Linked DNA regions of Arabidopsis thaliana. The protein of the gene in region 3 purifies or fractionates together with the protein of the main gene of each other region. This does not show direct contact. Each region holds a gene or a part of one and is shown on either strand. Other genes may lie near its edges.

Region 1 (7,231 bases), on a different chromosome or scaffold from region 3:
ATTAGGTCAATACGAGAACAGAGCACAAAAACCTCCTCTGTTCCAAGAATTGACATCTTCCCATGGCCAACTCCAGCTACAAGCTCCTTGCGATTAGCATACTCAAACTTAACAAAAGACACACCGGAGTCACCTTGTCCTACATATACCTTCCTCACATCTTCATAGAAACCATCATCCCACATGGCTCCTCCATCTCCGCCTTTTGCTTCTAGTTTCTTAGCCGGAACTTGTGTGGGGACTGGCGCTGGAACCGGTGCAACTGGAGCTGGAACTGGCGCAAAATTTGCTCCAAGTGCTCTGAGAGCATTGTCACTTTCACTATTACGTCCACGGAATCCGACAAGCACCGCAAGGACGAATTTCTTACTAGACACTTTTCCAAATACAGGAGAGATTCTACACTTTGATGTTTTGAAAGTAAGCGAGGTTACATAACCACAAAAATGTAAGTTCCTTCCACTGATGTAATAAATTCATTTGGATAATCAACCTTAAACTCTTTTGGTTCTTGGTTCATCTTTCCGTGAGAATGCCGAACAGATGTGCTTCCTTTAACATACTTGAACTTAACATAGCTTAGGTAGCTACCATCTTGTGTAACCGATATTTTACTTACACCATCGTAAACACCATCATCCCAAGCATATCCTCTGTCTCCACCTTGAGGTTCTAACTGCTTCACAGGAGAAGAAGGCGCGAGAAAATGAGCTCCAATAGCAAACAGAGCAGTACCAGACCTTCCATGGAACCCGGTAAGTTTTGCTCCACAATTACCTTCCACCACGAAATCTGTTTTAAAAATCGCTATCTGACCATACATGGGAGATTTTCTCCCGTGTGATGTCTTGAAGATAAGAGACTTCACGATAGTTGTGTTGTATCTCGCAACATCGCTATAGCTTGCCTGAATTGATGTGATATAGTTAAGTACAAACTGCAACAAAGAAGAAACAGAGCAAAAAACAGAGAATGGTATAGTCAACACATATAATTAGAAATGCAGTATCATATGTAGACAAAGTTATGCAACCTCTTTTAGTACTCCGGTGACACTTCCGTGCATTTGTGTCTCGAATTTGCCGTCTTTCTCGTATTCGATTTTGATACAATCCACGCCGTTACCGTTTTCCCCAACAATCACTTTCCTCACACCGTTGTAACCAAAAACGCTATCGTCGAATGGATCTCCTTTGTTACCACCGAAAGGTCCTACTTTCTGTGACATTTTTAACTGAAAGAGTCAATAGTAATGACATCAACAAACTGAAGAATTTATAATAATCTATCGAAACAGAAATCTAATGTCTTAGTGAAAAAAGTATTTTACACATCTAACATGAACCCTACTAACTTCTTTATTTTATTATAAAATTCCAGCATTTGGATGTAACACTAATTTATCAATCGTTTTCAACTAAAACAAAATATGCTAAAGACAAATACTAAATTTTAGGGAAAAAAAGGATGATAATAAGGAAGAGCATTTTACAAGTTCTTTGAGATGGTCAATTGAAATTTTCGTAGAGAGATCAATACTCACGGATAAGATTATGAGAAAGTGACAAACCAAGAAAGGCAGGACTTGGTTATAAGAAAAAGAAAAAAAGAAAAGAGACAGGCATGACTTACCTAAATATTTCAATTAAAATACGAAGTGCGAACAAAGGAATGCATTATGCATGGGTTTAAATAGTGAACGTTGAAAAGAAAGTTGAAGCATCAATACATCTTGGATATGTGATTCTCTTTAATAGAGATAATGTTTTATACACAGTTATAATTAAAAGAAAGATCACCATTCACCATTGTAAAGAGAAATCACATTAGCATAGTTATTCTCATTAGAGAACACACAACACATAGTTTAAAGAGAGTGGCTAGAAGCAGAGGAGCAACAACCAGAGCCCTCCTCAATTATTTGAAGGTCAGAAGCAAAAAAACAATTACGGCCTATTATTTGAAAATGTTTTTTTTTTTTTAATTGAAGAACAATGAAAAGGAGGTTGGAGATTCAAAGTTTCGAACTCTGCACCTCTCCATGTGGGAAGATGACTTTGACCACTAGACTAGTTAAACAATTACAATATGAATCCTGCATGGGATTAGTTGTAAACGCGTATACAACACATCCATCGTTATTTATTTAATATTAAGCTATGACTCTCCCTTCTAGTTCGCATTTTTTTATCTGGGGATTTATTTTAAGAAAATAAACAATTTATTGGATAAACCACGAAACATAAAACAATTAAACATATAGAAAACGTTTAGGAAAAAAAAAACATCAACAAAATGGACAAGCTGACGAATGATAATATGGTGGTATCAAGACCCTTCCCTTATTGCATCACAAACGTTCATCACCAAATCTGCCTTAATTAGGCAGAGTCAATTCCGTAAAAGAAGAGATCATCAAACCGGTCATTGGTTGGAGCTTTACCACCATGCATCACAAGTCCTTTCTTGCCACCAATGGTCGCAGTTGTGGACGCGGTCCATCCTCTGCTACTCGGAGTCTCTTCCTCTCCACCAAACTTATCCAGCCTCTCCCATTGCAACGTCTCTGTGTCCAATGCAAAAGTTCCATCGGTCAATTGACCTGGACCCACGTGAGCTAGCGGGTCCATCGCAATTTCACCTCCAAAAATCACAATGTGTTTCCCAAGAGCCGCACTAGCGAATACACTTCTTTCGGAAGGCCTCACACCGAATGTTTCCACTTGTGTCCACTTGTCTTGAACAGGATCGTAGTAATGAACATCATCTACTTCACATCCGTTAAACCCATACACAACCCATACCTTCCCTTGCACCACTTCGAGCCCTGCTCCTCCTCTTGCGGTAAGGGAATCTCCTGGAGTCGAACAATGAAACCACTTCTTATCAACGATGTTGTAAGAGTCTAGTGTATTGAGTCGTGCCGTAGCACTCACTCCACCGAAAACGTAAACGTTTTCCTCATCGGCTGCCATTGAGTGGAAACTACGAGGAGTGGGTCCTTCTTCGACCGGAGTTAGCAGTTTCCACTCGTTTGTGGTCGTGTCAAACGAGTAGAAACCGTTGTATTGACGTGAAGCGTCTCGGCCTCCAAAGACATAGAGGGTCGATCCTATTGACACCATACAGACACCTAGGCAAGAGAGGGTTGGAATGTCTCCCGTGGCTGGAGAAATGGACCAAGTCCGGCTCTCGATGTCAAAGACGTAAAGGTGTTTGTCGATGGGCTGATTTGGTGTGAACTCACCACCAAAAGAGTAAATCTTGTTTCCTACCTGTGCTATGTCATGCGAGCATCTTAGCCCTGGACCATCTCCATTTTCATCCACCTTATAATTAATTAATAATACTTGTTAGTTAGGATTTTTTATAATATAGAGTCTGCTTAGTGAACTAGCTCCCATGGTGATATATAAAAGATTACTACCTTTGTCCACTTTCCATGCAAGTTTGGAGTGGGCGACAATGAAATATAAGCCCCGAGGGAGTCTAGAACGTCGGTCGAACGTCCGTGAAACCCAACAATTTTTCCACCTTGTAGCACAAACTTAATACCAGGTCTTTGTTCGATAGGCTGAGAGGTTTTGCCTTTATAAGTCTTGAATGAAAGAAAAGTGATCATCTCTGAGGTCATACCATTAACTTTCTCACGGTATCCTTCCACGTATACGATGTAGTCATCCGCATCAATCTCAAACTGCAAAGAAACCAAATAATTTTGAGTGAGGTTACCCATATAAATATATATATATATATATCCTTTTGACGAATCACAACATAGAATTATCTATTTTTGTACCTCTTCAACTCCTAGCTCTGTCTTCTTTCCATGTTCATCTCCAACAACCACTTGAGAACCATTGACATACTCAAACTTGACGAAGGCTATACCATATTGGGCTTGCCCTACATATACCTTTCTAACATTATCGTAAACACCATCATCCCATATATCTCCCGTGTCACCACCCTTTGCTTCTAGCTTTTTGGCATTCAAGGGGGTTACATTAGTCAACGGAGCAAAGTACGCTCCAAGAGAATGGAGATTGTTTCCAGCGAAGCCATAAAATCCAACGATCTTCTTGTCTTGAACTTGGAGAGTGAACGGTGTACCATCTTCATATCCAATGAGATCAGAAGTCTTCTTGTTGGATTTGAACGTTAGCCCTAGAATAAGTCCTTCAGGGTTATACCGACCTTCTACAGAAACTAAGTGCTCCTCCGGATGGTTTATCACAAACTGTAGAGATCAAGATCAAAATGTCAATTTCTTAAAAAGAACATTATCAAAACAAACCCTTGACAATATATAACCTATATATATATATATATTAATTCACGTCAATGTCCTTATAGATAAAAATGAAGAGATAGGCAAGGATAGTGTATAGGAACCGGATCTGCTTCGAAACTACGGCCCTTGACACCGCGTAGAGGGGCTTCTTCGGTTTGTCCGTTCTTGACGTATGTGAACTTAACATATTCAATTCCGTTCCCGCCTGCTGCGACTTGAATCTTGGTCACAGCGTCGTATTCGGATCCATCATCCCATTGGTTACCGCCATTTCCTCCTTGTGCTTCAACCTTTTGGGCCATCTCTTTTGCTTTCGTTTGATCAACCTCTTACGAATATTATCTGTATTTACGAATTTTACTTGTAATTACAAATATTACCAAATCTTATACATAGTACAATCATATGAGAGAGATGTGGAGAGAGCTGACCTGAGAGTGAGACTGAAGTAATGATTTGTGTAGTAAACATTGCATTGGTATTTATTGACCAATGGAAGAAGATACACGCGACATATTTTTTCTCTACTCGTTGATCGCGAGGCATTAAATTAGTATATATTAAAATATTTTTCTCTATGTACCAAATAAATTTTGTTTAAAGATCCTCCGTAAGAAGGTTCGTTGAACTGCAACATTGAATTTTTTTTGGTCAAGGCACAAAAAATTAGGTGGTGCAGCTTATTACGGGATTTTAGAGTAGTGTTTCTCTCCCATAATCGTCATGTGCTTTTGTTTCGATGAATAGCTTGATGGAAATAAAACAGATATGTCATCTATGGGATATTGAAAGTATGTGCAGTCATCATTTTCTCGGGTGATCTTTGAAAGTATAATAGTATAGTTTTACTCGCCATTTAATCTTTAGCAGCGATAAAAAATTTAACAAAAAAAAATTACGAAAAACTATACTATTATATATTCAGCTTAGAGATCTCGTATCATTCAGAATCACCTCCACGTTCATCAAATCAGTAAAGCACCTTCTCGCATCGTCCTTCGCTCCTTGCATCGTGGCCCAATGATAGTGTTCCATGTTGTCATAAATTATAAGAATAGACCCACTTTATGGCTGGTTTGTGTTGCAAGTGCATGTATAAAATAGAGACGATGATATATTTTTCCACGGGAATTATCATACTGGAATAGATAGAGTCCAAACTATGATACATATTGATATTGGATATTCCCCAAAACGTATATTTATTTAGTTCAAAAGTTTGAAATCTCAGAACACAAAAACATTGGTTTAATCGGTTTATAATCTACACCAATCCCAAACCACATAAAACCAAAATAATAAAATAACATTATTTTTTTGGTAAAAACATTGATTAAGTATGAAAATATATCTATGAAGATGATTCAATTAAATGGAGAAAGTGAATCAAACCTTCTTCTTGTCGCATGAATCTCAAACTATGGACGATAGCTTATAGGCGAGACAATTCTTCAAATCATGAACTCAAAAAGTTCCTCCCGAAAACCAATCTTAGTGATCTCTGCTCATTGGGACACCAAATTCCCATATGTCAACATTGGTCTTCGCAATTCCATGATCCACGATTTCTATGGCTTCGCAATTTTGGTTTTGAAAGTTTCTTTTTTTGGTTTTGAAATTTCCATATATATCATCTCTATTGGATTAATTATTTAATGTTTGTTGCTGAAATAGGAAGCGCCAGGAGCAATTAAATTGAAACTGTGATGCTCTTTTTGTTATGGTTCGAGTCTCCAAATCGATGACGCTGATTCTTCAGATAGATCATAAATGAGATTTGCTGCATCTCTTGCCGTCTTCATCTGTCATGGGAGGAAAAATAGATGAAGCAAAAAAAAAAAAAAAGATAAAAAGACTAAGCCAAGAAGAAACAATTTTTTTTTTTGGTAATCACAAACACTAACTAAATATACAATACAGAAACAAGGTTGTGAAAATCACTCTAAATCGAAGAAAGTAATGTGTTATGCAGCGAGTGCATGGGACTAAATATAGTTGAATCGTAAGATAGATTTTTTTATGTAGTGAGATCATTATGCACTAAAAAGAAAAGAGAAATCATTATGCATAATGACAAATGAAAGAACGATAATTTCTTGCGACTGTAGAACAAATGAAAGAACGATAACTTGAGAAGTGGCCATTAACCAAGTTGTAAAGTGTGAACGAATGACCAGAAAAGAATGAACTAATAAGGATATATTTTTTAATTTTTTCAAAAAACAATATAATAATAAACCACCTAAACCGAGAATTGGTTGAAAATTACAATATTATATATATATATATATATATATATATATATATATATATTTTAATCACACTTTTTAGTGACAAAAATATACTATTAGGTCGATCGTTTCTAGAGCTTCCAACAAAAATAATAATATAAAGCACAACTAATTTTCATAATTATATTATTTAACAACATCGTATGAAATATCATTTCTAATTTTTATTTTTGTTTTGTATACACGAAGATTGAAAACACAACTTAATTTCTATAATCTCTTTCTTCGTTTTTGTGTGTGACGTGTTCTTTATTAAACTCTTAATTACAAAGTGCCATTTCAAAATTATCAAAAGAAAAGTTTCCAAATAATATGTTCAATTTTTTAAAATAATAATATTTAACAAAATTGTTAGATACGTTACCTAAGATATGAAGAACGTTACGTTTGTACATGACTTATTTTTTATATATTCTATCTGCTGATCCTATTTTAACATGATTTTACATATCAAATATTAAGTTAGTTACAAAAAAATTGAATGATATAAACCACCAAATATGTGGTACTTTAGTTATATAGGACCCTCTAAATGGGGTATATATTTATAGGTTTAACTTCACTTGGGACAAAAGGTTTATCACCCTGCAATAAGTATAATTTGAAATACTAATTTATATTTGGTTATTTGATTACACTTTTTTCT
Region 2 (7,881 bases), on a different chromosome or scaffold from region 3:
AATCATAATACATTTGTTTTGCTACAGTGAGAAAATAAAGATGGTCAAAAAGGTGGTGTAAAGGCAAGATAAAAACACTTGGAAAAGCAAAAGATATCTCTGAAGGAAAAACATACCTCTTGGACTTTTATGAGGAAGAAGAAGAGGGGATCTATAAAAATAGCTAACAAGCATGAAAGGGCGAAGAATTTAGTCCAGGTTTGAACCTCTTTGGCATGAGGATTCATGATTCCAGGTAAGTATCTATTAACAGAGGAAGCAAATCTCCTTGCCCAACCTTTAGCATCATCATACAGAGCGTTATGGAACTAGCAAGAAAACAAAAGACTCTGTTTCAACGACATTTACTTGATCCTGAAGCTATATTTGTGAATGTAAAGTAACAAAAATCAAAACTTTACCGTGGAATCAAAAAGGGCAGAAACTCTAGAAGTAGGGATTTGAGCAGCCTTACGGTTGTAGTAAGAAGGGCAAGTAGTACAGTAAGGATCATTACACATTCCCAATTGTCCAGACCTCAAGAGATTTGCGTGTTTCAAAACGAACTCATCCTCTGAGGAGTTTTTATGTTCAAGAGCAGCAAAAGAAGGATACCTCTCAGGCTGAGAAGAGACACCAACGGAATCAGAAGAAGGATGAGGAAGAAAGAGAGGTTCATGCTTGCGAGTAGAGGTAAGAGGACCACTCATTTGAACTAAAGGAGGACGTCTCTGAGTTCGAAGAGGACCCGTGTAGCCTAAAACCACAGTGGAAGTGTCAAATCCTTCAATGGAGGAAGTAGGGTTTGAGAGAGAAACGCTACGACTCCTGGAAGTGAAAGCTCTGGCTCTAGTACGAGATGATGGGTCTGAAATCGGAAGCATGGGAATATCATCGTTTTCGTTGTGGGAAGCCATTTCTTGACCAAAATCACGGTTTCAAGAAGACCCTAGAAGGCTAGAATCTAGGCATAAAGGGAAAATTTGAGGCGGAGAAGGAAGTTGAAGCAGAGAGTTTTAGTAATTTTGATAAGAAGAAGAAGAAATAAGAAAGGAGATGATGACCAAGTCAGGGGTCTTCTTCTTCGTAGCCCAGGTCAAGGAAGTGTATTATTGTAAATAAAACTCATGTCTGGAAAAGTCAAACACTGACTTTTATTACATTGTTTATTATTTCGTGTCCGTGAGGCTTCTCTCTCCTCTGTGTTTTTAACATTTATTTCCTTTTGAATATTCACGAATTCGAAAATTCCTTTATTTGATTACCAACTGTAACTAATTAATTGGCCCTAATTATTGGAGGCAAAATGTCATTAACTACATGGCTGTTTCCGTTTCTTTGTCTTAATTAACTTCTTACAGTAAAGAAGTACCGAAAAGGCAAAAATCATTCATTATCCAGGCTTGATTAATTATTAATTTAAGATCAATTAGAATGGGCCGAAATTATGAGCCCAAGTTACTCAAGCCGAGTGACCTGAAGTAAAATTATACCGTATGATTGGAAAAACAGCAAAAAGATACTTAAGAAACACTAATGAGTGAATTGATTACAACGAATGAATCATCGATTCATCTTTTATAGTGAATCACTAAGCTTTATACTTCAAAATAAAATTACTAATCTACCAAACCAAACATCATCATCAAATTTAACGGTTGGAATTGGAGTGAGCAGTGTTTAATCTCTGGAGTTGTCTCTTTCGGTATCTCCAAGCCACTTGGATCTGCATAGCTGCTCGTAACCTCCAATAAGGAGACTCGTACCTTATAGCTCCTTGCACTCGATGGCTTCTTAAGAATCTTGAAAACAAGCTTGTTACATCTTCAAGATCTGCTACACTCAGCGAAAACGCCTCCACGTTTGTCACACACCTAACATTTCTGTTGCTAACCAATCCCTTTGGTGGCATCTTTATCCTCGTCCCATCTGCAAGTTTCAAAACGTATTCAGCTCCAAAGTTCCAAGTTTCTAACCAAAAAACATTAAGAGTTATGAACACTCAAATGTTATTAGTACCGGGGTTTATAGAAGAGAGGCACCAAGTGAGAAGTTCTTCACCACAAACGTCTCCTTCTGATAAAGGAAGAACAGAACCGTCTTCTCCAATGCTCTCCATCTCACCTCTCACTATGAATACCATTTTCTCTACTAGACCTCTGTGATGCAACACCGTGCTACTCCTTATGTAAGTCCTCTGTTTCAGCCTCTCTCTGATTGAATCTAAAACTGATTCATCCATCAACGAAAATATTCTCACCTGCAAACTCATTAACACTTGGATTCAGAACTAGCTTTTTGCAACACTGTGGAGTCTGAGTACACAAAATGAATACTGACTAATGCTGTCATGAGGCTGTTGCTTATTACCTTCTTGAGAAATTTGAAGAGGTGTCTTCTTATATCTCTTTGAAGGTCATCAGGCATGTTCTCAAATAGCAATTCTTCGTTAACTCCTCTTGTCGCAGCCCAAGTGTACCGCTCAACCTCTCTCACCCTCCTGAAAAAGTTGAACAGTTGATTAGTTATGAATATCACATTACACAGCCTGAGAAAATCAAATGCCACAGTGCACAGACTTTCTTATATCTTCTGGCAAACGTCTATGGCTCATCCACTGCTCCACATCACGCTTTCTCAGCATCATTTCCATCCTCCTAAAACAGAACATGCATTAGCCAAGAAATTCACCATCCCTTTTCAGAACATTGTTGATGAAATGTGATTTACCTTCGATCAAGTGATTGAAGGAAGTTGTGCATGTTACCGATAAGCCGCGCAAAAAGCAAAAGCCCTAGTCCAATGATACCCATTGTAAAGAAAACCTCACCCACTGAGTAACTTGGGGATAAGTTTCCAGCAAGTGTGCTTATTTGCTTTCAGAGTTGAAAACATTTCAACATTAGTTAAAGAGTGATTCAAAGACTAATAGCTGCAACATCAACCAAACCTGAAATGAACTTACTTGGAATCCCCAATACAGAGAATAACTGAATCTTGTGAAGAAACTAGATTCATTGGTAAGATTCACTGCCTTCAAATAGATCCCATAGGTATAACCATTTTCTTGAAAACAAGCATTGACACTAGCATTATCTCTCCACAGATCTCGTTGTGACTTCGATGCATAACTTCCACGAGCACAATCGATAAGATTTCTACGTTCATCCGCAGAAATATTCCAAGCATTCAGCATGCATTTCTTAACTCTCTGAAAAAAGCAATACAACAAAAACAATCTTTAAATCACTTGATAGATATGAAGAGAATCTTTAAAGACACTGATCTTCTACTATATACCTGCAGAGCAGAGAGATACCAGCAAGAGCCAACAGCGTGACCAGCAAGCATGAAGGTGAGAAGATTAATAACAAAATTAGCCCAAGCTGACTCAAATATGAAGCCAGTAGATGTTTGTCCAGCAAGAAGAGGTAAGAGTCTATATAACTTTGGAATGTATTGAAAAAGAACCGTAGCGCGTAAAATCTGTTTCTCAGATTCTTCCCTGCGTGTGCCTAAGTGTAATGGTATTATCCTTAATATCATTATCTGTGGAATGGGAAAGACTATGAACATGTCAAGGAGAAACTTTCCTCGGAAGTAATGGCGAGCAATTTTTCTTGGATGATCAACTAACTGGCCGGCACCAACTATTCTAGACTCAGGAGCTACATAGGCCAACCTAAACTGCAACACATAAGACCAAAGAAGCGTTAAAGCCAATGAATTTCCTTAGATATGAGATAGGAGCAATGGAGACACACCTGAAGCAGAATGTTAATGAAGAATATAAGATCCGTTATACTTCTAAGAGACACCAATACTTTAGTCGCACGCCAATCAATCGCTATGCATTTGTTGTCCTGCAGTATCAAACTCATGAAAACGTATACAGTCAAGAAGGAGATTGATAGAGCAAGAGAAGGAGACATACTTGTTGGATCAATAAGAGGAAAAAGAAGAGAGGGTCTATAAAAATGGCCACTAAGCTTGAAAAGGCTAAGACTCTAGTCCAGACTTGAACAAATTTGGAATGAGGATTCATTATTCCGGGTAAGCATCTACGAACAGAGGAGGCAAATCGCTTAGCCCAACCTCTAGCATCACCATACAGAACAGTGCGAAACTAAACAAGACAAAAGAAAGTAAAATACTCTTGTGTCAGCTGCTATGTATAATGTTTACTTGAGTCTCAAGGTAAGTAGAAATATCATACCCTAGAGGCAGAAACTCTGGAAGTGTGCAATTGAGCAGCTTGGCGGTTGTAGTAAGAAGGGCAAGTAGTGCAGTAAGGATCATTGCACATCCCTAATTGTCCAGATCTCAAGAGATTTGCGTTTTTGAAGACGAAATCATCTTCAGGTGGAACATCAACGGTAGAAGAGGAATCAGGAGATTCTTGAGGAGAAGGAGAGAAGAGAGGTTCTGTTCTGCGAGTAGAGTGAATAGGACCACTCATTTGCACTAAAGGAGGTCTTATTCTCTGGGTTCGAAGAGGACCCGTGTAGCCTAAAGTCACAGTTGAGTTGTCAAATCCGTCAATGGAGAAAGATGGGTTTGAGAGAGAAACGCTACGGTTTCTGGAAGTGAAAGTCCTAGTGTGAGCCATTTTTTATTTCAGAAACCCAAAATCTAGGGCATGTAGGAGAAGAAAAAAAAGCAAAATGATGACAGAGAGAAGAAGAAAGAAGGAGACGAAGACAGAGACTTGGGTTTCGTTTTGTATCCCGTCAAGCAAATGTGGACGACACTTTATAAGGAAAAGAATGGAAAAAAAAAAACATGAACTACATCGAACTTTGCAGGAAATTTAAGAAAAGAAATGTTACATTTTAGATCTTGTGTTGAACCCATCAACGAAGCTTCCAAAGGAATAGAAAACCTCAGTAGTAAGTAAAGCAAAAAAGTTGGAAGAGAGAAAACCTCAAGAAGCTGCCTCTTGTGTTACTTTGAAAACTTTATCCAAGAGCTTTGTCCATTGTGTATTTTATTTAGTGCATATTTCCAAATAAGAATGATGATTTCTGAGCATTAGTGAAAAAGAATAAACTGGAATTCTCACCAAACACACAGTTCAGGTTTTTTTTTTTTATATGCAATTGTCTCATATGATAAAATAATTAAGAGTGTGAATAAAGAGATCCGCGTTTATGGAAAAAGACGATGAAATAAATATTATTTTCTAAAACGCACATTTTTATTTATTTATGAAAACATTATTCGATGACATAACTTTATGAACTCTTCTGGATATATAAAATTGTCATTTACCACCAACCAATATGCTCTCTCCCTCTTTTTGCTTTCTAAATTTGATGTCAGAATCTCAAAAACCTAAAGGCTTTGAGTTATTAAGCCCAACAAACAATGGGCCGCAACTACCAAACCCAAGTACTAAAGCCACGTGTTAAAATATGAGTGGAACAAAATCAAATGCTTGTAACTTTGGCGGATTTTGCCTGTTATATGCTCTGCACTGATACAACTGAACAAACGTGTCAGCTATCTTCTCTCTCTCACTATTTCTGGGTTTGTATCTTTCTTCTCCCCACTCCGATCCTTCATTAATCTCGATGATCTAAAATATCCCTTTCTTAACATTTATTATCTTCTTGGAAAAGCCATCAATGTCTTCATCATCTATGCCATTATTCCCATTTTCCCTTTATAATTTTATATACGAATCACTAACTAAAACAAGTATATCTTTCAGGTTGAAGAAGATGAAGAACAAAGCATCCATGGAAGCTCCACAGTTGCCATCTCTCTCTGGTACTTTCATTTTCCATTTTCAAATTTCTTCTCACTCTCTCTCTCTCTTTTTGGAGCTTTTTCACATTTTCAAATTTTCAAATCACAAAGCATGCTACAGAAACAGTGGACCCCCTTTTTCTCTCTCTCTCTTGCTCTGTTTGTCTTTCTCTCTCATCACTTCTTGTCTGAAAAAATGTTGGAAACAGACCTTGAAGCTCGGATGCAAATCCTGCGTGAGTCTGGTTTTCAAGAAAGCCAAGGAGATGATGATACCTTTGCTCAACGAGCTGAATGGTTTTACCAGGGACGACCTTTGCTTCTCTCACTTTGTCTGGACCTGTACAACGGCTACGTCACTCTCTTGGGTCGTTCTTCTCATCAGACCAGACTTAAACCCACTACTTCTCTTCCGAACCAGCTTCTCCAAGATGATGATGACTGCATTTCGGACATTGATTCCGTTAGTGAGGTCAGTTCTGAAGTTGAGAGCACCTTATCCTTTCAACAGATGAAAGATCCTACTGCGGTTTCTGAGAAAGTCGATGAGCTTGTATCCCAACTTGTGACAGCAAGCTTGGACAAAGAGATTCTGAAACACGAGTTACTTCACAAGGACCAACAGTTTCATGAAGCCTCCAAGACTATAGAGCTGTTGAAGAAGTTTGTCATGTTGCTGGAGATGGAGAAAGAAGTGGCTGTGGAGGAAAACGCTAATCTTGGCTACAAACTCACTTCTCTCTTGGAGGAGAACAGAGAGCTAGCCACTGAGGCATTGTTCATGAAGAACGAAGCTGTTGGGCTTGCTAGGTGTGTGCTTAAGATGAGAGATGACCACTTTCACAAGGTCTGCATTCTCCAGAACCGCATCTACTCGCTTCAGGCATCTAGGAACTCAGAGCCCGTCTCTGATAAGGTCTCATACGGATGCTTTGGCCTGGATAAGCATAAGACCAAAAAGAAGAAGGAGAACAAAACCGAAGAGAAGAAGCCTGGATTCAAGTGGTTGAAGAAACTGAACACCATTAACCTGTTTACAAAGTGCAGCCTTAACCCATCGGCTGCTGCTCCATCATGCTGCACTTTCGACTTGCCTTATTAGCTTAATCCTTTGCTGTATTAGTAAACTATGAACAATGCATACATAACTGTGTATGTTCTATCGCCTTATTAGGTTTAATGCTTTTCAGTGCATCGCCCTGATGCACAGTTTGTTGTACCCCGCATACAATCTGTGGCTCCTTGATCCACATATGTATGGTTTTCATGACTCACTTATCTGGTTAACACAACAATGTCATGACCTTCCTACCCACAAATGCTTACTGCTTTATAAATATACTGTATTTCTGAAAAGAAATTGAGAAAACAAGAAGTTAAGAGATAGCAATGCTTCATCAGGGAAGCCGATTCTCTAGCTTGATTATACTCTATGCCATTTTCTCTTTATCTTCTCTCATGCTAAAATCTGAAGGAACAGAGCATATAGTTGGTGACAGCAATGGCTGGGAACTCTTTACAAACTATACCAACTGGACACAGGGAAGAGAGTTTCATGTCGGCGATGTCTTAGGTAATTTTTCTAACTCCTGTACTACGATGCCTAAATACAGCAGAACCAATGTTGCAATCCCATACATACTATCTCACCAAAAAAGACGATGATTTATGTCAATTCTGCCTCTGTTCTTCAGCAGTCTTCTGTTCCATATCAATAGTAAGAAAACATGATAAGTTATTTCCAGCATAACAGCATTTACCTTGCTAAGTCTGTCTCTCTTCTTCAACAGTATTCAACTACAAAAGTGACCAGCATAATGTTATGCAAGTTAACTCTACAGCATACACAGATTGTGGATTAGACAATTACACAACTCTCTTCACCAAAGGTAACGACTCAATAATCCTATCAGAAGTTGGAAAGCTATGGTTCATCTGTGGAGTGGATGATCACTGTGTAAATGGCCAGAAGCTAAGCATTAATGTAGCTCCTTGAGTACCGTAATGATTATCAAAGATAGGAAGCTTGTTGTTTGGGTAGTCTTTAGTACCAAAATAATGTCATTAACATTGATAATATCATCTGAGTAATATATACACAACGCAATGTCAATACCTCTTGCTATACTAATAACCTATACACATACCTTT
Region 3 (8,011 bases):
TTTCGGGCTTTTATAGGGCTGGCCCTATTATACTACGGTTCTGTTCGTTTCTCCATTTGACAGATCCATCCAATTGATCCATTCAACATGTCCATCTAGATGATTCATTCGACTCTTGTTCGTTTTATTTTTAGTCGGTTCATTTGACTGGACCATCCGAATGAGATGTTGTTCGTTTACTTATCTCTATCTCCATCCAAATGATTTGCAATAATACAAATACCTAAAATACCCATGCTTTCATCTAATTCTTAATCTAAAATATATTTAAAAGTAAATAAATTTCAAATAATAGTTTTTTATATTTATAAATTTATTTTACGGTTTTGGCGGGAAAACGTGATTTTATGATTTGACGGGAAAACTCGATTTTACAGTTTTGGCGGAAAACAAAATTTTACGTTTTTGGCGGGAAAACGTGATTTTACGGTTTTGGCGGGAAAACGTGATTTTACGGTTTTGGCGGGAAAACGTGATTTTTGCGGTTTTGGCGGAAAAACACGATTTTACGGTTTTGGTGGAAAAACGTAATTTTTTGGTTTTGGCAGGAAATCACGGTTTTACGGGTTTGCCGGGAAACCGTGATTTTGCGGTTTTGGCGGGAAAATAGAATTTTACGATTTTTGCGAGGAAAAAATGATTTTGCGGTTTTGGCGGGAAAACGTAATTGTACGGGTTTTGCTGAAAAACGAATTTTACGGTTTTAGCAAAAAAAATGATTTTGCGGTTTTAGCAGAAAATTTAATTTTTTATTTTTTAAAAAATAATTGTAAAATAAGATTTAAATCTATTTATTTATTTTATCTAAAAATACATCTAAATAATCAATTGAAATAATTAGGGTATTTTTGTCATTTGTTATTTTAGATTGAATCATCTCCATCCAAATGATCCAATTTAGTTCAGTCAAATGAGTTTCAAAATTTAGCCTAAATTTTCAAACTCATCCAGATGATTCATTTGGATGGATCATCTGAATGAACCGTTTTTGGCACCAAACGAACATCAAAACTCATCTCCATCGAAATGATCCATCTTACTGATGAAACGAACATGCCTACAAACTTTTTTTTTTCTTCTTTAACACTAAACGACGACGTCTCTTTTTTTTTTCTTTTTTTTTTTCTTTCTTCTTCTTCTTCAATCTTCTTTCTTCGATCTCTTATTTTTTAAACTCTCTTCTTTGATTGTGAGAAGCCATAAAAAAAGGTTCGATATCTCTCTCTTAATCTTTCATCTTTCTCATTTTTCTATTCTCATAGATTGATATATTCTCTATCTTTGGAATCTGATTCATAGGATTGGGGTTTAATGGTTTTCGAAGAAATCTGGGTTAAAGTGTGTTCGTGTGTTCTCTAAATTTGATTCACTAAACGTGGGTTTCGAAAAATTGAATTCTGTGTAGCTATGATCTTGTGGCATAAGGCAAACTGATTCCTGAAGTTGGAACATCGTTCTCTGGTTCAGTAGAGAACCGACGAACACCCTTCCCCATCTCCGACGATGTTGTTTTTCTGCTTAGGACACAAGTTTGTTTTGTTTTTTTTCTCTTAAACTTTCATACTTTCACACACTCATAAGTTTACACACATTACACATATATATAGGAGATTTCTTCTACTCACCATACCCACTCTCTTAGACCTTAAACTTAGTCACTATTTAACCTTACTTCTAGACATTAGACTTAGGGATACAAGCAACCTTACACAACCTTACCTTAGCCACTAACAACCCCAACTACTCTACCTCAAGTACTTAGCTAGAATAAGCTACTTCTACGAATGGGCCACAACAAAACATACTTCACCACTTTGGGCCTACACAACTTCATCAGCCCAATAAGATAAAACATAAAACCCACTTCTCTTGTCTTCTTCTTCTTCTTCTTCTTCTTCTTCTTCTCACGTCTCTCTCTTACGTCGTCTTCTTCTTCTAGTTTCCAATCTTCTTGTTCTTCATCATTGTTGTTTCCTTCTCACTGATGTTCTTCTTCTTCTTTGCAGGATCAATCGGAGAGTTCAATCTCAACAGACGACCATACCCTCGATACAGTAGCTGCTCCGCTCATCAACGTCCATTTCGCCGCCTTTAGCCGTCAACGTTCTCTGGTTCTGTTGCCGTACAAAATTCTTAAAGGTCGCGTTTTTATGTAAGCGTAGGGTTTAGTTGTCGTCCCGCTCTTTTTAATTAGACTTTGTTAATTTAATTAGGTTAATTAGATAAGACCTAAAACGGCGACGTGTAAGCTGTCGTCTTCTTGACCTTTTTGGTGAACTCCTCCTTCCTCTCTATCGGCTATCGCTCGCTGCGTCTCTGTGTCTTGTTGCTTGGAGCAAGCTCTCCAGCGTGAGTTAATCTAATCTCTGTAATGATTAATTACCTTCTTTTACGGTTTCTGGAATTGCATCTGTGTGTGAGCACTTGGTTTGAAATATGATTTAACTAGTGAATTCGATAATGCTGTTCAATAAGAATGCTTAGAAAAGCCTTAACTGGGTTTTACTCACCACTCTTCTTATTGAATCTAGAAATTGAAAGTGTGAATTTTTGCGAGTTCTCTTATTCAAACTTCACTGCGAAAGGTGGAGTTTTTCGTCTCTGTTTTCTCCCTAATTCTTATAGTTTGAGCTAATGGTGTTAATCAGGCTCAAGAATAGATAAAATAAAATTATGGATTCAGATGCATGGGAAATTATCCATATACCTGAAAAGCCTTCATTGTCACCTGACCATCAGCCCACTGGTATGATTCAATCTCTAAGTTTGGTTTTTTAGTCTATCAAAGGTTCTTTATCTAAACTTCTTCTTCTGTGTGTGTGTGTGTGTTGTTCTTGTTGTTCACAGTGAAGGTATATGCTAGCCTAATCAAACCCAGATTTGCCAATACGATAGTGAGGTTTGTCATTCTTGTTTCGACTCTTGACTCGTTGATTCCAGTGCTGTAATCTCATGAGTGAATTTTTTTACTTTGCTATGATAGGCATTTATGTAAGATTGCTCCTCTAGAAGATCTTCGTCATGTTAAAAGGGTGAAGAAGAAGATTCTGCCAGATTGCGGTATCCCATTGTTAGTTTTCTTAGCGCGCTGATACACCAATCATAAGATTATGAGGTTTTTATTGTAAGCTTATTGGACAGGTGAAACTCAGTTGACTGTCATCTTATGTCTAGCACCTGAGCACAACGATCAGTTGAGTGACATGCCACCTGATGTGCAGAGACTCGTTGATCCCTATGAGTTGAGTCCTTTTATTACACAAGTAGGTTATTTTTCTCTTATCTCACCACTATTTGCTTCAAGGGTTTTTGATTCATTTAGCTTCCAAGTCAGAGATTTCTTTCTGCTCATTCATTTATATTTTCAGTGCAATCTCATATTTCTGCTATAACTATGATAGGTATGCAAATATGCTGCGGTATCCAAAGAAGAGTGGGAAGAACAAAGTAAGATATGGCCTACTTCATTTCATCCACCAACCTAGTAAGCTCCATGTCTAGAATCAGTTTTGTGACCAAAAGAGTCTTTATTATCTTTCTGGTCTTTTTATTATATATGCTTTAGTCGTTCTAGAATAATCTTATTTCTTGATGGTTTCTATTGGTGCTCTTATCTGCATTGTAATAGCAATATATGTCTTTGTTTATAGTGCAACAGTCAATGATTTTTTACTTTTTGCATTTGGCAATGATAGCAATATAGATGGCATCGGTGGGTTCAGCGAGGAGGAAACACAATCAATCTGCAAGTTCATGAGAGTTGTTATTGATATGGCAGTATCTGGTCATACACCAGTAAGTATTTTCCATTGATCTACATAACGTCGATATCAAGTTTTAGACAACAGACCATTCATTTTTCATGTACCATTTGCTTTTTTTAGCGCCTCAATCCTTGTTCTCTTGGTAGAAAGATTTACCATCGTTTCATTACATAGAAAATGATCTCAATTTACCACATTTCTAATGTACTTTTCAGCTTGTGAATGCTGCAGTGATAGTTGATCCTTCAGTTAGGCGAATAATAGCTAGTGAAACTGATCAAGTATATGCATCATCTGCTCCTCGTGACATGACTAGCGCAGAGACCAGGCCCTTCGAGGAAACAGGGGAAATATGTTTAAATGACACACTTGAAAAACAGAATGGTTCATTGTCTGCTCTTTCTTGTCTGAATCCCTGGCAATGGAGTTTGCAGCCGCATGACACTGAAAATTGTAGCCAGTGGCATCCTCTTAGGCATGCTTCCATGGTTGCCATTGAATCCTCTTCTGCCAGAGATAGAAATCTGTTTCCCAATCCATCCAAGATTTTTGATCAGGATCATGTTCCGCCCTCAAATACAGATTCTCCGGCTAAAAAGCAGAAAACAAGCAGTCAGAGTCCAGACGTAAGTTCATTCCAACCAAGTTTTTTAATTTCCTCCACATGCTTTGACTAGTACAGCATTCTCTCTTACACTTCTGAGTTATCGATAGGTCCAAAATGACAGCAGAGAAGAGACTGTTAGAGATCCTTCAATGGAAAGGCCGTACCTCTGCACTGGTTATGACATTTTCCTCCTGTTGGAGCCTTGTACAATGTGAGTTTCTACATACATATTACCCTTTTAAACTCTGCAAGTGTGTGTATCTAATAAAGTCGTGATATGTTCCCAAGGTGTGCTATGGCGCTTGTGCATCAAAGAATAAAACGGATTTTCTATGCTTTTCCAAACACCACGGCAGGTGGTCTCGGGAGTGTTCATAGACTTCAAGGGGAAAAGAGTTTGAACCATCATTATGCAGTGTTTAGAGTTTTGCTGCCTGATGACGCACTTAGACAAATGACCACGGTCTAATGCATTGTTGTAGTCGATTGATAATCAGGTTCTGGGTGAGAAAGCTAATTCTTTGTTCTTGTTCATTCCAAGAATCTGGAATCTTATTGAATTATTATGTAGACCAAAAACTTTCGACTTCTATTACTGTGTATGGCTCAGTACTCTCTAGTCAGAAACTTGTGTTTTAGAGAAACAACAGAATGCAAGAAACGAACCGTCACTAACCAATCCTCACATGAAATAATGCATCTCTACTTACTGTAGTATCAGGTCATTGCATGGCCCAACTGAAATCATTCTTGCACTGCGCTCTCTTAATCTAACAACAGAGGATTGACGATTGCCGCCATTCGAAAATCGTCATTAGCTGAAAGACGAAAGAGGTTGTTATGAGGTAAATGGTGATAATCTCAAACTTGGTTTTCAAAGTTATAAGCTCATCTGATCGCGCAACACGTGTATATTTGTATGTATTAGATTTTGATAGGTGAAAAAAAAATTATGTAACAATAAAAAGTCTAGATTAAGACCTGTGTATGAGTGTTTTAAAATTATAAATTGTACTAAATTTAAGAAAAAGGGTTGTTTGTATATTTGTTTTTGCCTTAATACACTAATTTGCATTTTGATATTTTAAATTTGTTGTAAAATTTATTACAATAATCTAGTAAAGTTAAATTATCAATATGTTATTAGATCAATGTTAGAATCATTTTACAATATTCATATTGTAAGATTTGCATTTCAATATTTTAAATTATTGTAAGATTGTATATATATACACTTATTTATAGCCTATAGACATTTATTATTTCTTATTCATAATTGTAAACTAAATTATTAGTGTTAATTTTTATTTTGCCACAATTAATGTTAGATCTAAAGTTTAAAATCCAAGATTATATCATATTGTACATTTGTTTATTTACTTTTCATTATTCTAAAGTAGATTAATAGTGTTAAATCTCTCTTTTGCCACAATTAATGTTAAATATAAATTTAAGACTCCAAGATTAGATCATTAATTTCTTTATATATTGATATAAAAATCTAAACTAAGAATTATCATCGTACGAAAAGAATGGAGGGTGACAAACATAATAATTCTAAGACAATTTTTTCAATGCATAAAAAATAATCCTACGACAATGATTATATCAGAGGATATAGTTGAAGAGATATTTCAATATCTTCCAATAAAATCACTAGCTAGATTCAAAGTCTTGTAAAAAAATGGAGATCAATGATCAAATCAACCTACTTTTCCCACAAATGACTCGTTCGTACAGGTTTACCAACCCCTAATATGAAATATCTTCATGTTAGTCAACACTTTTCAGCGAATTTTGTTGAAGAAGATTCAACTCAATAACTTTTCTTTTGGAGACTTTTTCTAGAGATGACCATAACAACGGAAAAAACTGTCATTCTTCTTCTTGTTACTACACTTTTCCTGATGATCCAATCGACAAATGTCAAAATAAAACCATTCAAGTATTGGGATCTTGTGATGGATTGGTCTTGATTCAGATCCATGACGATTTTAGGCACATTTACTTGATCAATCCTTCGACTAAAGAACACATGAAACTTTCCAAAGTGGTGCGTCGTTGGTACGCACCTTGGTTACTTTCTTAGATTACATGACCGTGCATACATGATATTTGTTATTATTAGTTAAACTTATACATATCAACTTGATTACTTTTTTTAGCTTTGTAGTATCCGAAAAAACTTTTCATGCATGCTCCGTTAGACCTTTCGATCTGCGGTAATTTCCGTAACGTTCGCGTAGCCAGGTTGCAAATTAAATCGCAACCTCAGTATCTTGAAGGCAAATCAAACCTTGGATGGGTTTAGAAACATTTCAAAGTGGTGTTTCGTTGGTACACATCTCTTGTTGACCGGAAGACAAGAACAATGCTTCCTCCTCTTGACAAACAGAATGAAACAACGTTTCGGGTTTGTTTTGGTAGATTGGTAAAACATTGGTGACGAACAACACTCGAGGCTTTTTCATTGATCAACTCAAGTAAATTTCTCTGAATTCTACGGAGCAAATAAATGATGCACATTGCTTTGAGACGCATAGCCATTTCGCCAAGACTTTTAGAGGCATCGGTAACAGAATCTTCATTTGTAGATCATAAGGAAGTGTTTCAAAGCTTGAATTCTCCATTCTTGTTTTTTTGTTTGTTATGATATTTTGTGTTTTGAGACATAGAGACCTACTAAACACACATGTGATATTTATAAGAGATTCTCAAAAATTGGTTTGTTACCAACGTTGTGACTTGTTGAGTCGTAAAACGTGTACATGCATCTCTGATTTATATTTCCAAAAGAGAAATATTAGTTCCTCACATTAAAACTTACCATAATTATTGGCCAATTAAGATTCTTTATTTTCTACTTTCTCTCGTTTAAATTTATCTTTTAACACAAAAATAAAATAAAAATCATTAAGAATTAAAAATTCCAAAAAAAAATAGAAATAATCAATGCACCACAAGCACTCCAATTAAACGCAGGCGTTTTGATCATCACCGGAGGAGGTCAATTTCTGATTTCTTCCGGCGAGAAAACAAACGAAAGAGTGAAAAAAAGGCGACTTTTTTCTTGTCCCGGGTTATAAAGATGTCAGCTTTGTGTCCTGTCTGCAATCTCACGCTTCCTCTCTCCCTAATCCAAAGGTATCAATCCCTAATTTCAGCTTTGTGTCCCTTATTTCTATATGCTTCTTAGTTGCATTCTCTCGAGGTCTTGATGTGTTTGTCTGGTTATGGTGGATGGTTTGACTCAGCCATGTGAATTCCCACTTCGAAGACGATGAAATCAATCCACAAATCGAAACCGATCACCACTTGGCTCTGCAACTCGCTTCTGATGATCATTCTTCTGATGATCCTTCTTCGTCTTCCTCTGCTTCATCATCTGTAATACTTTCTTAAAACCCTTAAATCTTCTTTCCACTCCTGTGTTAGGTTCAGAAAAGAAAACCCAATTGATAAAACATTGTTTCATTTCTGCAGAACAACGTTGCCTCCTTGGTCCAGTTACAGACTAAGAGTCAATTCTATAGTGTAGGTCATGGTGGTTTGATTTGTTTGCTGAGGAACTGTCTGGAGTCAGAACTGAAATTGAAGTCGAAACCTTTAGAGTGTAGTACTAGTTTACTATCAGGCTTTG
Region 4 (6,364 bases), 5.1 Mb from region 3:
GAACATTCCGTGCAGGGTCCCTTAGTCTTCGCCAGGTCAGTACATTATATCAAACTGTAGATGTTCATATGTAGTACTAAGCAAGATTCTCTTCTTCAGCGGATTGTACACATTTCAGTAAATTTGGCTCTTGTTGTTCCAGTTGAAGTTTGCTACAGTTGATCTGGAGCTGCACACAAAATACATGCCAGGTGGGGCAGAGACCATCTACGAAGTTGATCAAAGGGTGTCCATAAAAACACAAGTGATCCCTCCACTTCCTGAAGATAGATTCCTCTGTAGCTTCAGTCATATATTTGCAGGTAACATCCTTAAACCCGTTTTGTTGTAACGCATCCGTAAACGTTAGTCATGTGCAGTTATCGTAGGTGCGTTTGATAGTTTGTTTCACTTGTTCACCTTCTCATGTCTTGTCAGGTGGTTATGCAGCTGGATACTACAGTTACAAGGTAAAATATATTCTTTTGTTTCTATATAATTCACCGATGCAGCAGTTCTATTCACGATGGTTCTCTGCTGGTCAAATATCTAAATACACTTTTGTGGACAACGTGCAGTGGGCGGAGGTTTTGTCTGCAGATGCGTTTTCAGCTTTTGAAGATGCTGGGTTGGATGACATTAAGGTATATGCTGCTAAACAAACTTACTGAAGCTTTGATTCGATTTTCCAGACTCTGAACATCTCTCTGTGTTGTGTGGGTTGCAAAACACAGGCTGTCAAAGAAACAGGACAGAGATTCAGAAACACTATACTTGCTCTGGGAGGAGGAAAAGCTCCTCTAAAAGTAAAATCTCTTCTCTGCCTTTTATACTATAGGTTCTGCATATCATAAATCCAAGTTGTTTGTTTCCAGAGCTTATAATGATCAAATGTAATGGTAAACTATTGAACAGGTGTTTGTGGAGTTCAGAGGACGAGAACCTTCCCCAGAGCCTCTGCTCAGACACAATGGACTCTTGGCTGCTTCTGCTTGAACTAATTATGTCCTTTGCTACTCTCACACTCAACTTTGGGTTTATTAATGTCATTAAATAAAATTAAACTTTTTCCTTGCTTGTTTCCTGAGCATGCTTTCTTCAAGTGTTGTAGTAATCATCTCATAGAAGTGCAGCTGGTAAAAAAAAAAATGGTTCATAAACGAAACGAACAGAGATAATATTTTTCTTCGAACCATTTTCACATTCTCCACTACATTTTTCTTAGATCCTCTCGATCTTTTCTTACTAAGTCACTCTGTTCATGGTGTCACCAATAATCTAAAGAACCTTAATCTGAAAGAGGAAAAGGACAGAAAACTTCCACCTCTTTGCTCAACCTAGAAATTCACTAACTACCCTTTACATGTTTTCCTCTATCTACTGTTTCCCTAACACTCAAAATCTTTTCTTTCGAGTTTCCCTTCCTTCCTTTCCCTTCCATTTACACAAAGGTTCCACCTCCACCCAAATTCTCCGATTCTAGTCTCCTGGAGTTGTTAAGCATATTTCAACGTACGGTCAACAATTATTACGGGGCTTCTTTTGCTTCCACAAATGGAGACTGCACACTATCCGCATCCGAATCACTTCCTGATGAACTCCCTGACTCTGAATCTGCATAGAGTCAAACACCGAAAACCGTTTAAACATTGGCAAAAGATAAACATTTAAATGAGAAATAGATGAAAGGGTAAGACTATATTACCACTAGAAGAAGAACTGCCACTCGAACTGAAGCTGCCAGAAGAACTAGAGCCACCACTAGCAGCGGCAGCTGTACCATCCCTTTCAATCTCCACTGATGGATAATCCTCAACTGGTATATCTTCTCCAATGTCTACATCCTCTTCTCCTGCTTCCCCTCCTTTCCTCCCTCTCTTCTCAGCACTTCCCATTTCTGTCACCGGAGGCTGATGATAATGACAAAGATCAGTACTAACCAATCAGAAACAAAGTGTGCATTTTGATAAATGGATCAGAAGTTTGCTTTACCATGTTTCTTGGTGGAGTTGACACATTCTGGATAAACCCTTGTCGCTTGATCTTGCTTGCCATCTTTCTGTAGTTGGTAACAAAACGATCAAGCTCCCACAAAGTCTCATTATCTAAAGCTTCAATATCCAACTCTATTTCGTCACCGTCTTGAGGCAAATCTCTTGTCCTCTTCCTAAGAATCTGAATCAACTGTCCAAGCTTCTCAGGAGGCAATTCTTGTAGATTCACGCCAAGCTTTCCCTTTTCATCCATTGTCATTTCCCGCTTGTTTGGATCCTTAGCCTTCGGTTTCGGTAACTTCCCTTTCCTTCCCTTATTCGTTTCACGCACTTCAAGTGATGCTTCCACTTGGTTAACCGGCTGGGGAGGTGGTGATGGTGGTGGTGGTGGCTGAACCGGTGAAGGAGGAGGAGATGGGTCACGTGTTATCTCAATTACTGGAGGAGGAGGCAATGTAGGTAGTAGCGGCTTCACTGAATCTAGCTTTTTAGCTATAGAAATCTGTTCAGGTCCTTTCCTTGCATTCTCCGCCACATTATTCTGATTCCACACTCTTTGATTATCCTCAGGTCCAGGACGAGACGATGATCCCATAACTTTCACCTCTTGAGCCTCGAATCTCTTCAATGTAGGGTTGAACCAAACGTCAAATTGACTCAGAAGCTTCTCAGCCATCAAATAAACATCTTGACCCTTTGGATTATACGACATCGCATTGGTGAAAGTCAACCTAACATCAGAAGCGAAATCAATCGGCGATCTATATAAACCTTTTTCCAGATTCATCTTCACCGTACCCAGATCCATAGGCTTGTCCACAATCCGATGATAGTCATGAAGCCCTAAACCTACCACATCAACAGGATTTAAAAAGACCCATGACCATTTATGCTTCATCAGCTTCACCAAGATCTGACCACATGTCGTCATCATACTCTTCAACACCTTCTCAGACATCAGATCCAAAGCCACATGACGCTTAAGGCTAGGCTCGTCCGTAGCAAACGGATTGCTTCGCTTCTGCCCATGCCCAATTTTCTTCTTCTTCGTCTTCGTCTTCTTCACTCCAACGTCATTCGTTTCACCAGCGAAGCTACGAGCTTGAGTAGTATAAACAGAGCCGCTCACGAACGTACCCGATTCGATCCGTTCTCTCAGGAACCGAACTTCCTCGAGCTCCGAATTGAGACGCTTCTTCAGCTCCCTGAGCTGATTCGAGGTGTACCCATCAAGATCAAAGGAAACGTAGTCTCCATAAGCTGACGAATCATCGAAATGCTTGCTCGAATTGTTCCCGTAAGCGGAGATTGAGTTAGGGTTAGGGTTAGGGTTGAAAAGAGGATTATTGATATCACCGGAAAGAGGTTGGTTTGTGTATTTCCTCATAAAAACGGCGCCACATTGTCCCAGAAACAACGGTTCGTTTAGGTTAGCCAAAACCGCAGGTGCCATACAAAACTCGAAGGGCACAAGATCATTTCAGAGGGATATGATCTCTTTCTCCCTTCGCCGGAATCAGACCTTTGATCTGACCCTTGTATAATTTAGAAACGTTGAAGTGAGAAATTAACGCCACCGGAAAAACAATTCCGGCGATCGGAAGAAAAGAAAGGGATTGTTGTTTGGAGAGGAGGACGAGGAAAAACAAGGTGAGGCATCGTCTCTTCTTAAAGGACATTGAAATCTGCCCGTTAAAACGCTTAGTGCTTCTCCTCACCGTTGATTCGAGATCTGACGGTTCAGATCTGTTTAATGACGTTGCCCGATCCATCTGCCCGAGTAATCTGACGTGGACGGCTCAGATTTCGTTAATTTATCCAGTGACCGTTCCATAGCCGTTGGTTCGTGCGTGCTTTATTTCTCTTAGCGATTTTCTTAATTAAACAAAATGTAGGCAAATTGGTAATTTCGGAGTCTGAACTGTTTCACATGGGCCCACAGTTATTTTTCCTTTTTCTTTTCGACATAATTTTTTTTTTGAGACTTATTCTTAATATTCTCGCTTTCACTTTTGCTAGGTCAGCAGTTTCTTGAATAATCTGTCCATTTGTTAGATTAAATATTCCTATCTCATCATAAATTTAGAAATGCATCACAATTTAATTGATAGAGATACAAATTCATAATTCAAAGAACTTTATTCGAGACTAAACACCGGCGGTCAAACTCGCCGGAATTGAAGGGGTAGGACAGCCAAGAAACACCGATGTACTTTATTTTATTTTCTTAAAGCCGGAGGAATTAGCCAACTGGGGCAACCGTCGAACCTTTCAAATGACGAAAATACCCTTTAAAAGAAATCATCAGTAAAGCATGAATCTGAACTGTGGAAATACCCCAGATTTCTCAAGGATCTAATCTTTTTTCTTGGCAAGCCCTTGATTCCTTGAACAAGATCAACAAGAACTTTGAAGGAAGAGAGAGGAAGGAGACTCGATCCAAGTTTTTTTTTTTCAAAGGAAGGAGGTGAGAGTGACTCAATTATTGAGAAAATAAGTGCAATTTTGTTTATATACATTTGACGAAGTTGGGTAAAATCTGGGCCGTCGGATCCTTGATTAAAAACACATATTATGAGGTGTCAGGTTGTATACTGGAAAAAGGAGGTCATAACCGTAAATAATAATAAATGTTGCGTCTATCCCCAAACACAACAACAGATGTGGGGACCATTTCCCTGATATATCGTGGGACCCACGACAGCTCACTTTTCTCTGTTGATTAATCTCTACCACAATCACACGCGCAGAAAAATTGCGTGCGTGTCACACTCTCTTTAGCTGACCTGGTTGTTTCTGTAGTTTCAAAAGTATATATATAGATCATTCTAGAAGGAAATAAACAGTAATGAAATTTTTTCGGATTACAGTGTTTTAGAATTCAACAGAGAGAGAATGTTGTAAATCTCCCAAGAACAAGACATGACTCCCCAGAGGAATCACTCTCTTCCCGACATCATTCGCTACGCTTAGCTGCTTGCAAGGATCGATTACGAACACTGTTTCCATCATTTCATTGGAACGAACATGAACACGATCATAACCAATCAGCTGCTTCTCCGGAACACCAGATAAAACCGGTGGCATTTTCGAAAACAGCATCACAACATGACTACCGTCGATTTCTCCGGTATTGCTCACATGAACACGAACGTTAAACCGCAGAGATTCGCAAGAGTTAACAATCACATCATCGAGCTGTAAGTATCGAAGTTCTTCTCCATGTTGTAGTTGTTTCTTGTGAGAAGACTGTTGTGGAAGAAGTTCCGATAAGCTAAGTCTGATTGGTGCTGATAAGATCTTGTACTCGAATTTCGTGTAGCTTAAACCGGTCCCAAAACTGTAAACTTGAGGTCCGGTATAGAATCTGTACGTTCTTCCTGGATATCCACGAGATGAATTGGCTCTCATGTGCATATCCGACATTGCCACATCCGTGAATGACTCCGGATACCACGTTGTCGGTAATCTACCACCTACACTTGAACCGAAACCAAAACCATATACAACCAAAAAGCTTTAGTATTCAGTTTCTGCATTTCATAAACTGGGATGAACAGAAGATGCTTTGATTTGCGATAGGCTAACCTGGATTGAAGTCTCCAAATATGATTTCAGCGAGTGCTTGTCCACCAGTTTCACCTGGATAACCAATCCAGATAATGCTTCCGATTCTCGGGTCATTTTTAGCAAACGTTACATCCACTGGTCCTCCACCGGTTAGAACAAGAATCACCGGTTTTTTGCTCACAGCAGCAACATGAGACACAAGATCTTTCTGTTTACCAGGCAAAGAAAGACTAACTCGATCCTTATCCTCGGTTTCTTGAGAGAGATCTAATCCTGCAACTACTATGACAAAATCCGCTCCCTTGGCGATGGCCACAGCTTCTCCAAATCCGGTATCAGAATCACAAGACACGTCTGAGCAACCAGACGCATAAGATGTCTTCTTCACATACTCCAGAAGTTCCGTGAACAAAGTCTTTCGTTGACACGGCTTTCCTTTACAAATATGACATTTATAAACTGTTTCAGCGAGGAGAAAAATTTAGCCTGCTTGAAAATAACAAGAAGATAGATAGTCCGAACCTGTATAAGTACCGCCCATATTGCTTATATTATTCGCCATTGGACCAACGATTGCTAATGAAGAAACATGGTTTTTGTTCAAAGGCAACAACTTGTGATCATTTTTCAGGAGCACGATACCCTGTCTTGTTGCTTCCAGTGCCAATTTTCTGTGGTCTGAGCTACAAATGTCATTTGATCCTAACTTTCCGTACTGTCCTCTTCTTGGATCACCATCAAAAAGTCCAAGACGAAGTTGAACAGCAAAGAGATTTAGCAGAGCTCGGTCTACTAGTTCTTCGCTCACCTTCCCCTGCTCA

The links.
Region 1: the proteins of EMB2820 (region 3) and NSP4 purify together in Arabidopsis thaliana (affinity purification with mass spectrometry, with the first as the bait; one study listed by BioGRID). This does not show direct contact.
Region 2: the proteins of EMB2820 (region 3) and CNGC19 purify together in Arabidopsis thaliana (affinity purification with mass spectrometry, with the first as the bait; one study listed by BioGRID). This does not show direct contact.
Region 4: the proteins of EMB2820 (region 3) and GTE2 purify together in Arabidopsis thaliana (affinity purification with mass spectrometry, with the first as the bait; one study listed by BioGRID). This does not show direct contact.

The regions. Positions count from the first base shown.
Region 1 is NC_003074.8:5,569,510-5,576,740, reverse strand, and holds NSP4 (nitrile specifier protein 4), read right to left. Parts: upstream 4,839-7,231; 5' UTR 4,726-4,838; intron 4,637-4,725; 5' UTR 4,597-4,636; coding exon 4,396-4,596; intron 4,241-4,395; coding exon 3,800-4,240; intron 3,698-3,799; coding exon 3,428-3,697; intron 3,330-3,427; coding exon 2,382-3,329; 3' UTR 1,983-2,381; downstream 1-1,982. UniProt on the Arabidopsis thaliana protein: Specifier protein that contributes to constitutive and herbivore-induced simple nitrile formation. Promotes simple nitriles, but not epithionitrile or thiocyanate formation.
Region 2 is NC_003074.8:6,042,089-6,049,969, reverse strand, and holds CNGC19 (cyclic nucleotide gated channel 19), read right to left. Parts: upstream 4,969-7,881; 5' UTR 4,589-4,968; coding exon 4,196-4,588; intron 4,106-4,195; coding exon 3,914-4,105; intron 3,843-3,913; coding exon 3,744-3,842; intron 3,667-3,743; coding exon 3,280-3,666; intron 3,191-3,279; coding exon 2,945-3,190; intron 2,856-2,944; coding exon 2,710-2,855; intron 2,637-2,709; coding exon 2,559-2,636; coding exon of another isoform or gene 2,537-2,558; exon of another isoform or gene 2,520-2,536; intron 2,480-2,519; coding exon 2,350-2,479; intron 2,240-2,349; coding exon 1,999-2,239; coding exon of another isoform or gene 1,982-1,998; exon of another isoform or gene 1,909-1,981; coding exon 1,631-1,908; 3' UTR 1,441-1,630; downstream 1-1,440. Other genes in the region: CNBT1 (cyclic nucleotide-binding transporter 1), read right to left, coding at 1-21, 117-308, 402-896; AT3G17680 (Kinase interacting (KIP1-like) family protein), read left to right, coding at 5,703-5,751, 5,808-6,832; AT3G17675 (Cupredoxin superfamily protein), read left to right, coding at 7,120-7,303, 7,521-7,726. UniProt on the Arabidopsis thaliana protein: Putative cyclic nucleotide-gated ion channel.
Region 3 is NC_003076.8:8,446,207-8,454,217, forward strand, and holds EMB2820 (Cytidine/deoxycytidylate deaminase family protein), read left to right. Parts: upstream 1-1,747; 5' UTR 1,748-2,139; exon of another isoform or gene 2,140-2,213; 5' UTR 2,214-2,349; intron 2,350-2,648; 5' UTR 2,649-2,673; coding exon 2,674-2,746; intron 2,747-2,847; coding exon 2,848-2,899; intron 2,900-2,983; coding exon 2,984-3,060; intron 3,061-3,129; coding exon 3,130-3,263; intron 3,264-3,401; coding exon 3,402-3,484; intron 3,485-3,695; coding exon 3,696-3,795; intron 3,796-3,979; coding exon 3,980-4,390; intron 4,391-4,478; coding exon 4,479-4,582; intron 4,583-4,659; coding exon 4,660-4,840; 3' UTR 4,841-4,875; exon of another isoform or gene 4,876-5,086; 3' UTR 5,087-5,363; downstream 5,364-8,011. Other genes in the region: AT5G24680 (Peptidase C78, ubiquitin fold modifier-specific peptidase 1/ 2), read left to right, coding at 7,460-7,515, 7,626-7,758, 7,855-8,011. UniProt on the Arabidopsis thaliana protein: Involved in RNA editing. Catalyzes the specific deamination of adenosine-34 in several cytosolic tRNA species. Generates inosine at the wobble position of the anticodon loop.
Region 4 is NC_003076.8:3,331,488-3,337,851, forward strand, and holds GTE2 (global transcription factor group E2), read right to left. Parts: upstream 3,427-6,364; coding exon 1,972-3,426; intron 1,890-1,971; coding exon 1,685-1,889; intron 1,603-1,684; exon of another isoform or gene 1,594-1,602; coding exon 1,508-1,593; downstream 1-1,507. Other genes in the region: AT5G10540 (Zincin-like metalloproteases family protein), read left to right, coding at 1-35, 143-302, 418-449, 558-623, 714-785, 895-975; AT5G10560 (Glycosyl hydrolase family protein), read right to left, coding at 4,848-5,449, 5,562-5,978, 6,066-6,364.